Linked DNA regions of Drosophila melanogaster. The protein of the gene in region 1 interacts with the protein of each later gene in a pairwise test. Each region holds a gene or a part of one and is shown in the gene's direction. Other genes may lie near its edges.

Evidence for each region. Proteins that work in one complex are often made in the same cells at the same time.
Region 2: the proteins of CG18266 (region 1) and CG7800 interact in a two-hybrid assay, tested with the Drosophila melanogaster proteins (one large-scale study listed by BioGRID).
Region 3: the proteins of CG18266 (region 1) and SmE interact in a two-hybrid assay, tested with the Drosophila melanogaster proteins (one large-scale study listed by BioGRID).

What each region holds. Positions count from the first base shown.
Region 1 is NT_033779.5:5,594,973-5,599,435, forward strand, and holds CG18266 (uncharacterized protein), read left to right. Parts: upstream 1-1,860; 5' UTR 1,861-1,966; coding exon 1,967-3,427; 3' UTR 3,428-3,664; downstream 3,665-4,463.
Region 2 is NT_033777.3:8,216,242-8,220,726, forward strand, and holds CG7800 (uncharacterized protein), read left to right. Parts: upstream 1-1,715; 5' UTR 1,716-1,819; coding exon 1,820-3,421; 3' UTR 3,422-3,493; downstream 3,494-4,485. Other genes in the region: CG18249 (uncharacterized protein), read left to right, coding at 3,957-4,485.
Region 3 is NT_033779.5:7,883,938-7,887,444, reverse strand, and holds SmE (small ribonucleoprotein particle protein SmE), read left to right. Parts: upstream 1-1,994; 5' UTR 1,995-2,101; coding exon 2,102-2,386; 3' UTR 2,387-2,515; downstream 2,516-3,507. Other genes in the region: CG34132 (uncharacterized protein), read right to left, coding at 1,470-1,568, 1,641-1,796; CG7102 (uncharacterized protein), read left to right, coding at 393-517, 748-910, 975-1,137, 2,657-2,790, 2,864-3,507. UniProt on the Drosophila melanogaster protein: Plays a role in pre-mRNA splicing as a core component of the spliceosomal U1, U2, U4 and U5 small nuclear ribonucleoproteins (snRNPs), the building blocks of the spliceosome.

The sequences.
Region 1 (4,463 bases):
AAACAGGCAAAATTAATCAGTTCAATTTGACGCTTCATTGATTAAAAAAACAATCCCCTGTGGCCACGTCCACCACCGCCGTCATATTCATACACTTAATTAAATTTGTGGCTGGCGAAAGTGAAATGTAACGACATTCGACGGCGGAACGTGAAATGTTTGTTATTAGTGTAAACAACATTTTATATATTTTCAAATGGATGTAGACTCGACGGGCCAGTCTGCGAGTGGGTCAGAGGTCACACATGGCGTATGAAATATGCGCCGCACTGGCCACAGGTAAAATTGTCACGTTTTTAATTAAACGGGCGCCCAAAGACCAACAACCAGCGCATCGTCCAATCGTTCAATAATCAATGGCTCGTCCGTGACAATAACACGGGTTAAAAATATAATTAAAACTCAAAATAAAACTTTTATTGGCTGCGTGCCTGAAATGTGTAACCGAAACATTTCATAATGGCTTAACCACTTGTCGGAATTTCATCGGCCAATGCAACAGTTGGCTCCGCCAATTCCCAGTACATTATTATCCAACAGAAAATATTTAAATACTTTAAGTCTAAGTACGTTATGGTCTCCAACGATTGCAGGGTATCGCCCAAGTCCATTAGATCTTTCGAGGGTCCATGGTTTGTTTTAAGGCGTCTGGAAACCGCCACCAGGTAGCGCTGATCAGCAATCTCGACAAGAGTATTTACCTCTTTATCTCTTGTTTTTCATATCTATATCTCAATCCAAGCAGCTGTGTAGAGGGTGTTCGATAGTCGAGAAACCTGACTTGTTTTAATTGAAATCGTGGAATACCGTGTACTTAGACCTGCAGCTTACAATAATTAATCGATATTGATTTTAAGCCAGAGTCCTTTCACTGTAGTTTTTTATTTTTGGCTAGCGGCTTTAAAGCAGCTTTATCTTTGACCTGATTCTGGAAATGGAGCACTGAGCCTATTGTAGATGACACACGCAACCACATACCCAGCCACGCCCACTTTTTGACAAGTCATTTGGCAGGTCGTTGAAAAAAGGGCCAACTTAATTGTGTCACTCACCGTTCAGCCTTAATTTGAGAGCCAAGATGATGGTGAACGACGATACAGCAATTAACGAGGTACAAAATCATTTCATTGTGTTTGCCAAACGCCGCGACCCAGAGCGCCCAAAAGCCAGCGGCGATAAGTTTTTTTATTACACCTGAGTCTGGGGGAGGAACCCAGGTGAGCTCCACACTATCTCAATGTGCGTGTGTGTGTATGTGTGCCAGGACTCATTAAAAACGAAAGAGACGCTCATTACCTGGCCAAGAGCAGGCAGAGAAACAAACGAACTCGCCGCCCTCATAGGACAACAAACGATTTTTGAGCCGGCGACTTTTCGCTCCAACACCCCAAAATTCACCCGCTGAAATTGAGGTTTATGTGGATGAGGATGCGTGTGGTGTTGGGTTTTAATTACCTTTGGTTTCATCCTTCGCGCCGTCATTCGGCTCGTTGTTTAAGTAATTGTTTGCCATTAGTTAAAATGTTTTCATTTTGCACCGGACTCGTGCCCGGACCGGACGCACATACGTGTGCATGTGGTATCTGGTGATGGCGGAAAAGATATCAAATTTGTAACCTGTCAGAGCGGAAATTCAATGAATTTCCATTTTCATATTTAATGATTTCGGTTTCTTAGTTAAACGTATTAAACAGAATGTTAAAATGCAGTCTCTCATAAAAACACTAACGAGCTTTACACTTTGGTATACTTAGATGTGACTCTAAATGGAATATTTTACTCTATTTTTCGACCACAGCAATCGGTGAACTTACGCTTTGATTGTCAGTCGTTGTGTACATTTTATGTTTCAGCAGTCTACAGACACAAAGCCGACACGACATATCGTCTCGAAAACTCGAGAGAAATCTTTCCCAATTCAATTTCCACATCCCCCACTTTTGTCGATCTTTCGCAGACTGCCGGAATGGCCTTTGTAGCGCGTCGGAGTAGCGATGGCTCGGTGGTGGATCGTCAGCAGGTGTCTGGTCGGGAAAAAGTACGTCCAGCTTCCCAGTCGGACATTAGTGATGAGGATTCGGAGTCGCTGCTGGGCTATACAAACCACACCTATGGGGCTCCCACAGTGAGGTATGTTGGCCAGGGTGAAGATCGTGAAGCGGTGGAACCTCAGCTAGATTATGAGGATTTTGGGGATTCTCTGGGGGATCATGCCGACAATTCGGAAAGCGAGACGGATTCCATTTTGAGTTTCTGCAAGGAACTGGATGAGGAGGAGGCCAACGATGCATTGCTAAATGGCAGAATGAGCTTCACAGACGAGAAGGCGAAAGTTGAGGATAAAGCGAATGCAGATGATGTGTTTCACCGGGTCATGAACAAAGGCGATGAGGCGGCTGCCACGGACACGGAGACCGTGATGAACTTTGATCACGATGTGCAGAGCCTTAGCTCCTTAGGCAGCTGCACGCCAACGGTGACGCAACGCGGTGAGGATGTCGACAATTTGGACAATATCAGCGGCAGGACATTTTTCAAGGAGGAAAAATCGCACAGCATTAACACCAGGACCTTTTGCAAGGATAACAATCTGGATGCGCTGAGCGGCAGGACCTTCTACAAGCAGGCCTCCGTAAAGGAGACTAACCAGGGCCAGATTTCCAGTCGGACATACAGCCTGAGTAGCTCGGGCAACAATCAAAACCATGACGCATCCTCGATGTCCACCTGCAGCTGGTCGGACATGTACCGCGGTGCTCTGCAGTCCACCGATGGATGCACCGGTATGCCCCCTCTGAGCCTGGCCAGCGTCGTCTCTGACTCGTCCACGTGCTACAAGCAGCTGGAGGAGCATAAGGAACGCCCTGGCCCGCAGGCCTTCGAGGACTGGAAGGCGCGAAAGGCCGCCGAGAAGCAGAAGAATCTGCTGGCTGCCAAACAGGAGCGCGAAAAGCGGGAGGCGGAGGCAGCACTGCGACAGAAATATGCCCAGGAGCACTTCCAGGAGTGGTGTCGTCGCAAGGAGGAGCAGCAGCAGCAGCAGCGGCAAAAGCAAAAGAAATCCTCGACCTCTAGCTCCAGTTTGGGATCGGTTTCCAGCTCTAGCACCGCCCCTACAAGGAAGGTGTCTCCCGAGAACACAAAGAACCGTCTGCAGAAGTGGGAGCAAGCCAAGCGGGAGCAGCAGCAACAGGAAAAACAACGCCTGATCCGACTGCAGTGCAACAAGCAGAAACTGGAGGAGGAACGCCGTCAGCGCCGCCAAGGCGCCTGGCAGAACTGGATGAAACAGGTGGACAAGCGGGCCAAGCCGGTTCCCCTCAATCAGGGCTTTGACACGCTGCGCGGTACCATATCCAACATCTACATCAATCCCGTGCAATGGGTGTCCAATATCGATCCGCAGGATTCGGGGCGCAGTCGTTAGAATTCCTTGGAGCGCTCTCACATTCGTTAGTCCATCGCCATTTCACGCTGAAATGCATGCAAGACCTATGGGGACGACTGGTGCAGGAGGACGGGAGGAGATCGCCTCGGTTGCTGGGCCCGCAAAATGATTTTAATTCTACTACTACACATTATACACGAATTTTGATTAGTGGCGGTGGATCCCACTTTGTTTTACCTTCGCAAGTTACTCAATAAACTACAAGATCGGCAGCTTTAACTGTAGTTTGGTTTATATTATATATCTCTTGATAGCCAACAAACAAGAATAGTTATTAATAGTTATTAACAAAATGTTTCACGCATTTCTAAATATGACAATTAAAATCGTAGAAGTGAAAGAGCTCATATTTGTGGATAGTGCGAACCCATTGCGAGAAGGTTAATAAAAGGCCAGCTTAGTGAAGCGAACCCGTAACGATAACCTTTGACCCGGGTGTATTATGGTTATGCTCCTCCACCACCCTTGGCCCAGAGCCTAAGGACACTGCACTTCCTTGTTGGCCATTCTGTCCCTTTATTCTGGCAACCATTTCCGTGTTTGTTTCAATGCCCATCCCATCCCATTCCATACTATCCACCCACAATTGTGTGCGTTTGTGTCAATTTCTGTTTTTATTATTTATTTGCCCGGTCCATGGGGAGTCGGCAGGTGGTGGAGCAGGCTTAATTAAGCTTTACTCCACCCACCCGGACCGTCCCAGTTTTATTTATGCAATTAACCAAAGCCTCGTGTAATATAGTCCCGTTAGGTAAAAATCTTTGATTAATTGTAGTTTTGTTTACACGATGGCAGCGAGTCAGACCTGATTATGTGGGCCATCATCTGACAGGGTCCAAAAGGGGATTTTGGGGCACCTCGGGATGTGCGTGTGTGTGAGTGTGTGTTAGAGGGTCCTTTCAGGTGATTAGTCCTTTAGTTGGCTGGCAATTTGTTTACACGTTCTGTGAGCTCGCCTAATCGCCAGCAGGCCTCTCGTCATTAGCACTATCATTACTTTGTGTTGTTCTCGATA
Region 2 (4,485 bases), on another chromosome or scaffold:
TTTTTTATTTTTTTTTCTTTGACTGCAGGAAGATCGATCTGGCCGATCGGTCGGTGCACCTCATTGACCTCCCTTCATCTTCCAGCTCCCTTGGCCCCTTAGTCCCTTCCGCATCCCAGTCCCCGTCACCTCGGCATTTCTGTTGTTGTGCCCGTTGAACATCTGTCGATCTTGTTTGGCGATAATTTGAATTGAGTTTTCTCTCCAAGTTGGCCAGCCTTCTCACATGTGTAAAAAGTCCAGAGCATTGTGCCATTTTGGTGAGGAGGCTTCCAAGGGGTAATGCCGGTAGGCGTGTTAATAACAGAGCTCATCCTCGTCAAATGAAGGCACACATGTGAAATGACACCAGATCTAGACGGAGTGCAAAGCTTTCCCACAGCACTCAGAAAAAAAAACACAAAACCAAACAGTAGTTCATTTGGGAATCGAAGATACACCTTCTAATACCTACGGGAAATATAATTAAGTTAATAAGTATTAGTATTATTTTTAAATAGTTTACAATGGTGTCCTCCGTACTCCGTAGGCTTAAGCTTGATCCTAAATTTGCAAAAAAAACACTCTTTTTTGGGTGTAGCTTTGCCAGTATTACTTTCCCAGAACGTGTCACCTAAAATGGGGAATGGGAAAGGAGGAGTAAGTGGAGTGGAGTGATGGTGGAAACCAAAAGGAGATTGGGGGAGGAACGGAGTCCCAGAGCCTTGGCCAATCCGCCGAGCACGTTCAAGTCGTTTTCTCGCAATTAACGCGAAATTCTACGAATTGTTTAATTAGAACTCCAGTTTCAGTTCTCGGTGTTCAGGTTGCATCCAAAGGTCTGCAAATCCCGCGTTGCCTGCAACCTCTGCACGTTTGTATCTTTTGGTTCTTGCTGCTTTTCCCTCGCTTGTTTGGGGCTGCATAATCTTTTCTGTAAACATGAAACTCGCGCCATTATATCGAGCCAACGTTGAGAATGGAATGGAATGGTATGGTTGAGGTATGGCTATGGGTATGGGTATGGGGCTCAGATCTTGGCCAGAACCTGGCTGCTTTTTACATGTTCGCTTGTTTTGTGCCGTGTGGCAGCGATTTGAAATTTAAAATCTGTGAATTTGAAGCAGTTTATCGAGACTCCTCGTCCTTTCTTAGGTGTTGTCCCCGATTCGTTTGGCCGATTAAATCATTAAATATTCCGATTGTGTAGCGTTATAATGAAATGTTTTTAACGCTTGTCTGACTTGGAATTATGCAGGGAATTAAAGGATCTCACCCCCCCTTGGCTATCTTTTATTTGCGAAGCTAAGAAACTTCTTTTTATGTGGAACATGTTGGTCTGTTGTCCCCGATAAGCGAAGATGTTCCTGGCATTTGGCGTATTCACTGGGTATTGAAAGATAATACTGTAGACACAGAGGCTTCACATTTTCATCAAATAATTGTCCCATAAAGTTTATTAAGAAGTTTTAATTATGTCACTTTTTATAAACTCATAAGTTGGGTGTTCCTTAAGAATATATATAGAAATATTCAGCTAGCCACCGGTAACAATATTGAAAAGCATAGTGAATGGTTAAAAATGTTTTAAAGGAACAAACAAATATTTTAAAATCACTAGAAAATGTTTAATCTAATTTAAAATTCAACAGCCCGGCGATAATCGATAATCTAATCGATCTTCTAATGTGTCTTCTGCGTAATCGATATGAATAGATACGGGCGAACAGCTGACTCGTTCCATCTTTAGCAAGTACAGGTACTACCTATATATCAACAGATTGTAAACGCGGTTAGGTTTCAAAAGTTATAGTAGTTGTAGTTGTTATGAAAAGCAACTATGTACCTAATAATCATCGCCCTGCTTGCAAGTGTATCCGCTTTAGGCCGCCCAGACTTGGAGGACTACTGCAATGATTCCTATTGCCATTTACTTGGTCGGAGCCGGACGTTTAGCGATAAGAAGGCTACCAAACTAACCGAGTTCCACATGGACTCCTGCGAAAAGAAGGTACTCAAACTTATGCCCAATCTGCGCACCCTGGAGCTGGAGAACTGCGACAGTCCGGACTTCACCATGAACGACCTGAATCAACTGCCGTACCTAACAAGCCTTCAATTGCGACGTGGAAATCTTTTGGGGCTGCACGACGAACACTTCTCGAAGTGGCCAAACATGAAGATCCTTATGCTGGGGGGGAACAACATAACGAGACTATCCAATGAATGCTTTAAAGGCCTAGCTCAGCTCTGGCTGCTGTCTCTGCCGGGGAATGGTATTCAAGGTTTGCCATGGGATGTATTTCAAAACCTACCAGAACTTCTGCATCTCGACCTAAGTGGCAATAGAATCGAAACTCTTCACGAAAACATTTTTACAGGCGTTCCCAAGCTAGAGATGCTGCTACTCAATGGGAATCCCTTGACATGGATAGCGCCTACGTCTCTAAAATCTCTAAGTAACCTACGCCTTTTGGACATGAGCAACTGTGGACCGCTGCCGGATCTTTCATTGCCCGGTGCACATACCTTGATCCTCGACAACAGCGGTGTGCAGCGCCTGGACATTTTGGGCAGTGTCCATAAACTCCAGGCGAGGAAAAACCATATAACCGAGATTAAATTACCCGACAAAAGCTCTGTTATCGAACTGGATTTGCATAGCAATTTACTGACCGCTACCGATATTCCCAAACTTCTAACGGGCATGTGGCGACTGCAACGACTGGATCTATCCGAGAATATCATAGGGATATACGCAGCCGCCGGAAGCGACAATACGAGCGAGCTCTTCATACTTCCCAATCTTATGTATATGAACCTATCGGCAAATCGCCTGACGCGTCTGCACTTCGATTCGCCAATTCCATGGGAAAGGCTTACTCATTTGGACGCTTCGTACAATAGAATATATGCTCCCGCAAAGGTTGGCATTGACGAAGCTTTCAATCTTCAAAGTTTGCATTTGGAGGGAAATTATATTAACAATTTTGAACTTACACCCTGGAAACCTCATCCAAGTCTGAAAGAGGTTGCTCTGTACGATAATAAATTCCAGCCTAAGGGCTATAAAAATATTACAAAGTTCTTCAATGAAATTGGAGTAAACGTCTTAGAGAAAACGCAATACAGTCAATCAAACAACACGACTCCAACTTGTAAGCCGTGCATACCAGATGCCAGAGATTTTCCTACGAGTATAAGCGCCGACACAAACCAAACCATAGATACCAAAGTTAATCCTTTAAGCAACGACACTTATCAATGGAATGTATGGAACGTACTGATGCTAGTTTCCCTGATTGTTTCCTTGTTCGTAAACTCTTTTCTAATCGTGAAACTCATTCGTTTGAGAGGAAGAAACCAGTTCACGCAATCATCATCGGTACCTGCCATAATCGAAATGTTTTCAAACGAATCTGATGATGAAATTATCCTGTAATATAATCATTCTACTTAACATGTATATATTTAAACTTTTCCTTAAATAATAATAAAGAATCTCTTGAGTTTTTCCTACCATGCACATTTAAATAACCGGCTACTCATTTGGATGTGCCTACATGCTGAATGATATATATATACAATATATACTACTATAACGAATAATTGAAATGCATCAAATTTAAACATCAATTATTACATTTTATTTTCCAGGGCCACATCTATTTTGAACACAAGCATTTCCCCAATGGTTTGTAAACGTAGGTTGAAACATCTCAGTATATGTATCTGAAATATGACGGAATTGATTCTGAATTGCCTTATCAACTAACTGAACGAGGCGAAAGCTTTACTTTGTTGCTCTCGGCAAAGCTCCCATGGGTATTTAAATTACCCACTATCAGCAGTGAGTAAAGCTCCACCCGCTGGTCCACAAATCCAGATGATAAGAACATGATGCTGTTGCCGCTTCGATCGGGGCTAGTGCAATATTTGCAGTCGAACAAAGCGCGAGCAAAGTGATACGGAATAACATGCATTTTTACAAGTACATTTTACTCGGTATTTGCGGCTTAACGGTAAGCGATGCACTTGCCGTGTACGATGCCTCCGGACGCTTTAATCTCAGTGCCAGTTGCCCGGATTCCTTCTGCAGCTTAAGTGATCGGCCAGTGGCATACTCTGCGACTCCGGCTCTTCAGCTCCGGGAATTGCACTTGAGAAACTGCAGCCGGCAATCGATCACATGGCTGGTTCTGCAACTTACACCTGGTCTTCGCACCTTGGTTATCCGCAACTGTGCCACCTACCACATTAGCAAGGAGAGTCTGAGGCCAGTGGAAAATCTAACCTCCCTGCAGATGCAGGGCACTAGTCTTGGCGTCCTCCGGGATCAGATCTTTAATGCAGTGCCTCGTTTGGAGATCCTGCAGCTAAGTCAGAACTTCATCCACACGGTTCACGTAGCCGCCTTCCAGGGCTTATCCAAACTAAGATTACTGGGTCTGCAAGGGAATGCGATAGCTGAAATCCTGTCTAGCACACTTGATCCTCTGATGGAGC
Region 3 (3,507 bases), 2.3 Mb from region 1:
GGAAAGGTCGAAATTGTTTGAAAAAACGCTTAGTTTGCAGCTGTGTAAAATAAATAGTGCACAATATTACTATTACAATAATATTTGTAGAAAAGTTATACCATTTAATCTTGTTGCAATTGTTTCCCAGGCCATATTGTTTGCCAAATCGATTGTGGCTTGGTGTCGGCCAAGAATTTTCAGCCAGGAACCGGTTTCTGCGCTCCCACGAATCCAGCGATTAAAAGAGAGAAATAAAGAGAGTTTCCAAGTTGAAAACATAAACAAACCCAATCGCAAAATAATAACAAAACCCAGTGCTTGCAGAGGGACAAGGCAACACGTGCACTTCTGCACGAATGATTGCAATTTTTTGAGCCCAAGAATACCGCACTTAATAATAAAAATCAATCATGAGTCTGCCCCAGTTGATCGAGGATCTGCAGCGCCTTTCCGAGGATCAGGATAGTGCAGATGTGGTATTCATTTGTGGCAGAGATGAGCGCATATATGCCCATAGATTAATGCTAATGGCTCGGTAAGTTAAATTGTTTTTTCAAACAAATACTTAAGAGATTAATAAATTTTGGTGATACCTTAAAATCTTATAAATGCCAATAACTGTATAATTTTTCTCTGTGGAATAAGATAATTGCCTACGGTTGCCTTTTTCGGAATCTTACAATGTTGCGTGCTGGAATCCCGGGTATTCCAGTTGGTCACTTAATTAATTTGTCTTGCCTTTCCATTCACTCAATTCGATTTCAGGTGCAAGAGCTTCAAGACTGCGAAGAGAGGTGAAGTGTGTCGAATTCCCGGATGCACAGTATCGCCAGCAGCCCCAGGAGCTTCAACTCCGACCACCATACGATTACCACACGTGAATCCGGAACTATTCAGGCAGTTCATCTTGTACGTTTACACCGCAAAGGTAAGAAAACTACTTATTAGTAACATCTAACATAATAAAATTATAACCAAAATTCATTTTTCAGTTGGTTCTCCAGGACTCGCAAGTATTTCAAATGATGATATTGGCACAGGATATCGGTGTGGTTGAGCTACGAACTGCCTGCGAGGATCACGTTATATCGACATTGTCGGTGGATAATGCCTGCACATTTTTAACCGCCGTTATGGATATACACGAAAAAGCAGGTTAGTAATATTGAGTAGCTCTTTTAGAAAATCACACCTTTAAAAGTAAGCAATTATGTGAAGTTGCATATTCGCGCCAAAACACTTTATACATTCTACATAATATGCTATGTCAAATGTATTGAGACTAACCATTCTGAAAGTTTTGGTATTTTTTGTACCACATCACATATCGATAAGAAAAAACATATGCACGTTGTGTTATCAGAATCACGTAACACGCAATGCATGTTTTTATTGCATTATCAAACTTTAGATATAACAACTAATCAATAGCTGGCAGATATAGTTAGTCCCAAGCTGCTCCAAAATGCAGAAGCCGATTCGTGTGTTTAGAACTTGGATTGTTCACGTTGTATTCTTTGGCCGTACACCCGAGAAATGAGGTTCCACGAGTCCATAAACCGGTCCATGCACATGGAAATGCATTTCTAAATTGGATATTAATGAAATACTATTTAAATACATATTCTATAGTGCAAAATAAGATATGTATAGCTTGCCTGTTCGGACGAATCGAGGGAAGTTCCCGGCTTATTGACACATTTTTTGAAGCACTTTTCGGTCATTTGCGTGAGCAATTCCTGGGCATTCGCAACAGCAATCTGTTGCTTAACCTGGTCCATAAGTTCACCTTTGTCCACATTAGCCATAGCCATTTGTTTGGTTTTCTTTATAAACTATAGTTTAATTCAGCTATGAATAAATGGCAACAACTTCTGCCCAACCACAAAAACTTAACAGTGCGATTGTGATAGTGTTTCTATCGATATGGTTATGCTACCAGAGGATTTACCATTTTGGTATCTTTAGGCTGGTCGATAGTTCGGTAGGCCGCGATTATGTGTGACCATCTGTGCTGTGCCATCGATATTTCTGCCTATCGCCTGGACGAAAAGAAGACGCCGGCAAAAAGAAGCGAAAATTTGTTTAACTCAAATTAAGTCGTCGGAAATCAGCAAAAATGTCGTTCAAAGGAAATCCCAAGGTGCAGAAGGTGATGGTGCAGCCCATCAACCTGATCTTCCGTTACCTGCAGAACCGGTCCCGCGTGCAAGTTTGGTTATACGAGAACATATCGCTGCGCATCGAGGGCCACATTGTGGGATTCGATGAGTACATGAATCTGGTGCTGGACGACGCCGAGGAAGTCTATGTGAAGACCCGGCAGCGCCGCAACCTCGGGAGGATCATGCTCAAGGGCGACAACATCACGCTCATACAGAACGTCAGTCCCACGAAGGACTAGGCGACTCAGCGGCCATCCTGCGAATCCTTCGAATTCCACCTGCAAACGCTGAACGCCCTTAATATAAGTAAAATAAATGTAAAGCCGATATCTGAAGACGAATGTTGAAATAAATGGTAGACTTTCTGTAATCAAGTGTTTCTAATGGGTAAGGTAGCAAATACGATCCGATTTCAGGACATATAGAATAGGATGCTGTCTCAAGGTAAAAGCCGTTGAGTGTCTTTAAAAAACAAGGAATTAATTTTAAACTTTCCCTTTAAATTTCAGGTGCCAAATGCGCTGCCTCGTTTATGGAACGCTGCATCATCTACATAGGGGAAAATGCAAATGAGTGCGTTAAGACTAATGCCTTCCTTACTTTAACAAAGGATGCCATTATTAAGATTATTTCCTCAGACTATGTAAGAGTTTATAATGAATAACCACTCAATTTACTGAATTTCTTTAATTACCAAAACTGTTAACTACCAATAGTTCTGCTTGGAAGAGGAGGAAGTGTGGCGCTGCGTTTTATCCTGGGCCAAATACCAGGCAGGAGTCACCCAACCCACTGCACATTGGACTGAGGAGGAGCGTGCTCGTGTCTGCCAACACTTAAGCGGTGTAATGGGTCACGTGCGTCTGCTTCTCATCGATAGCCAAGTTTTCGCGGAGGAAGTGGAACCTACAGGAGCTGTACCTATGGAACTATCCCTAGAACGATATCGCTATGCCGCTTTGCATGCCAATAAGATGATGGATAACGATAAGAGACTTCAGCCCCGCCTAGCTGTAGCGGTCAACATGTTTCCCGGATCCCAAATCCTGAAGAATGACAATCTGGCACTACAGACTGTTCTCAATAATTGGGTTGGAGTGGGCAAGCAATCCTGGAGATTAGTTTTCCGAGCGTCCACTCATGGCTACGATTCTGGAGCCTTTCATCGTTATTGCGACGGCGTGGCTCCTTGCATGGTTATTGGCTTGGGATCGCATGGAGAGATCAGTGGTGGTTATACGGATGTGGCGTGGGCCAAAACAAGCCGAAAGGGGGGATATGTTCAGTCCGAGCGAGCCTTCCTCTTTGCCTTGAATCCAGCCAATGGGGAACAGCCGGTCAAGTTTGATATTGTAAAGAA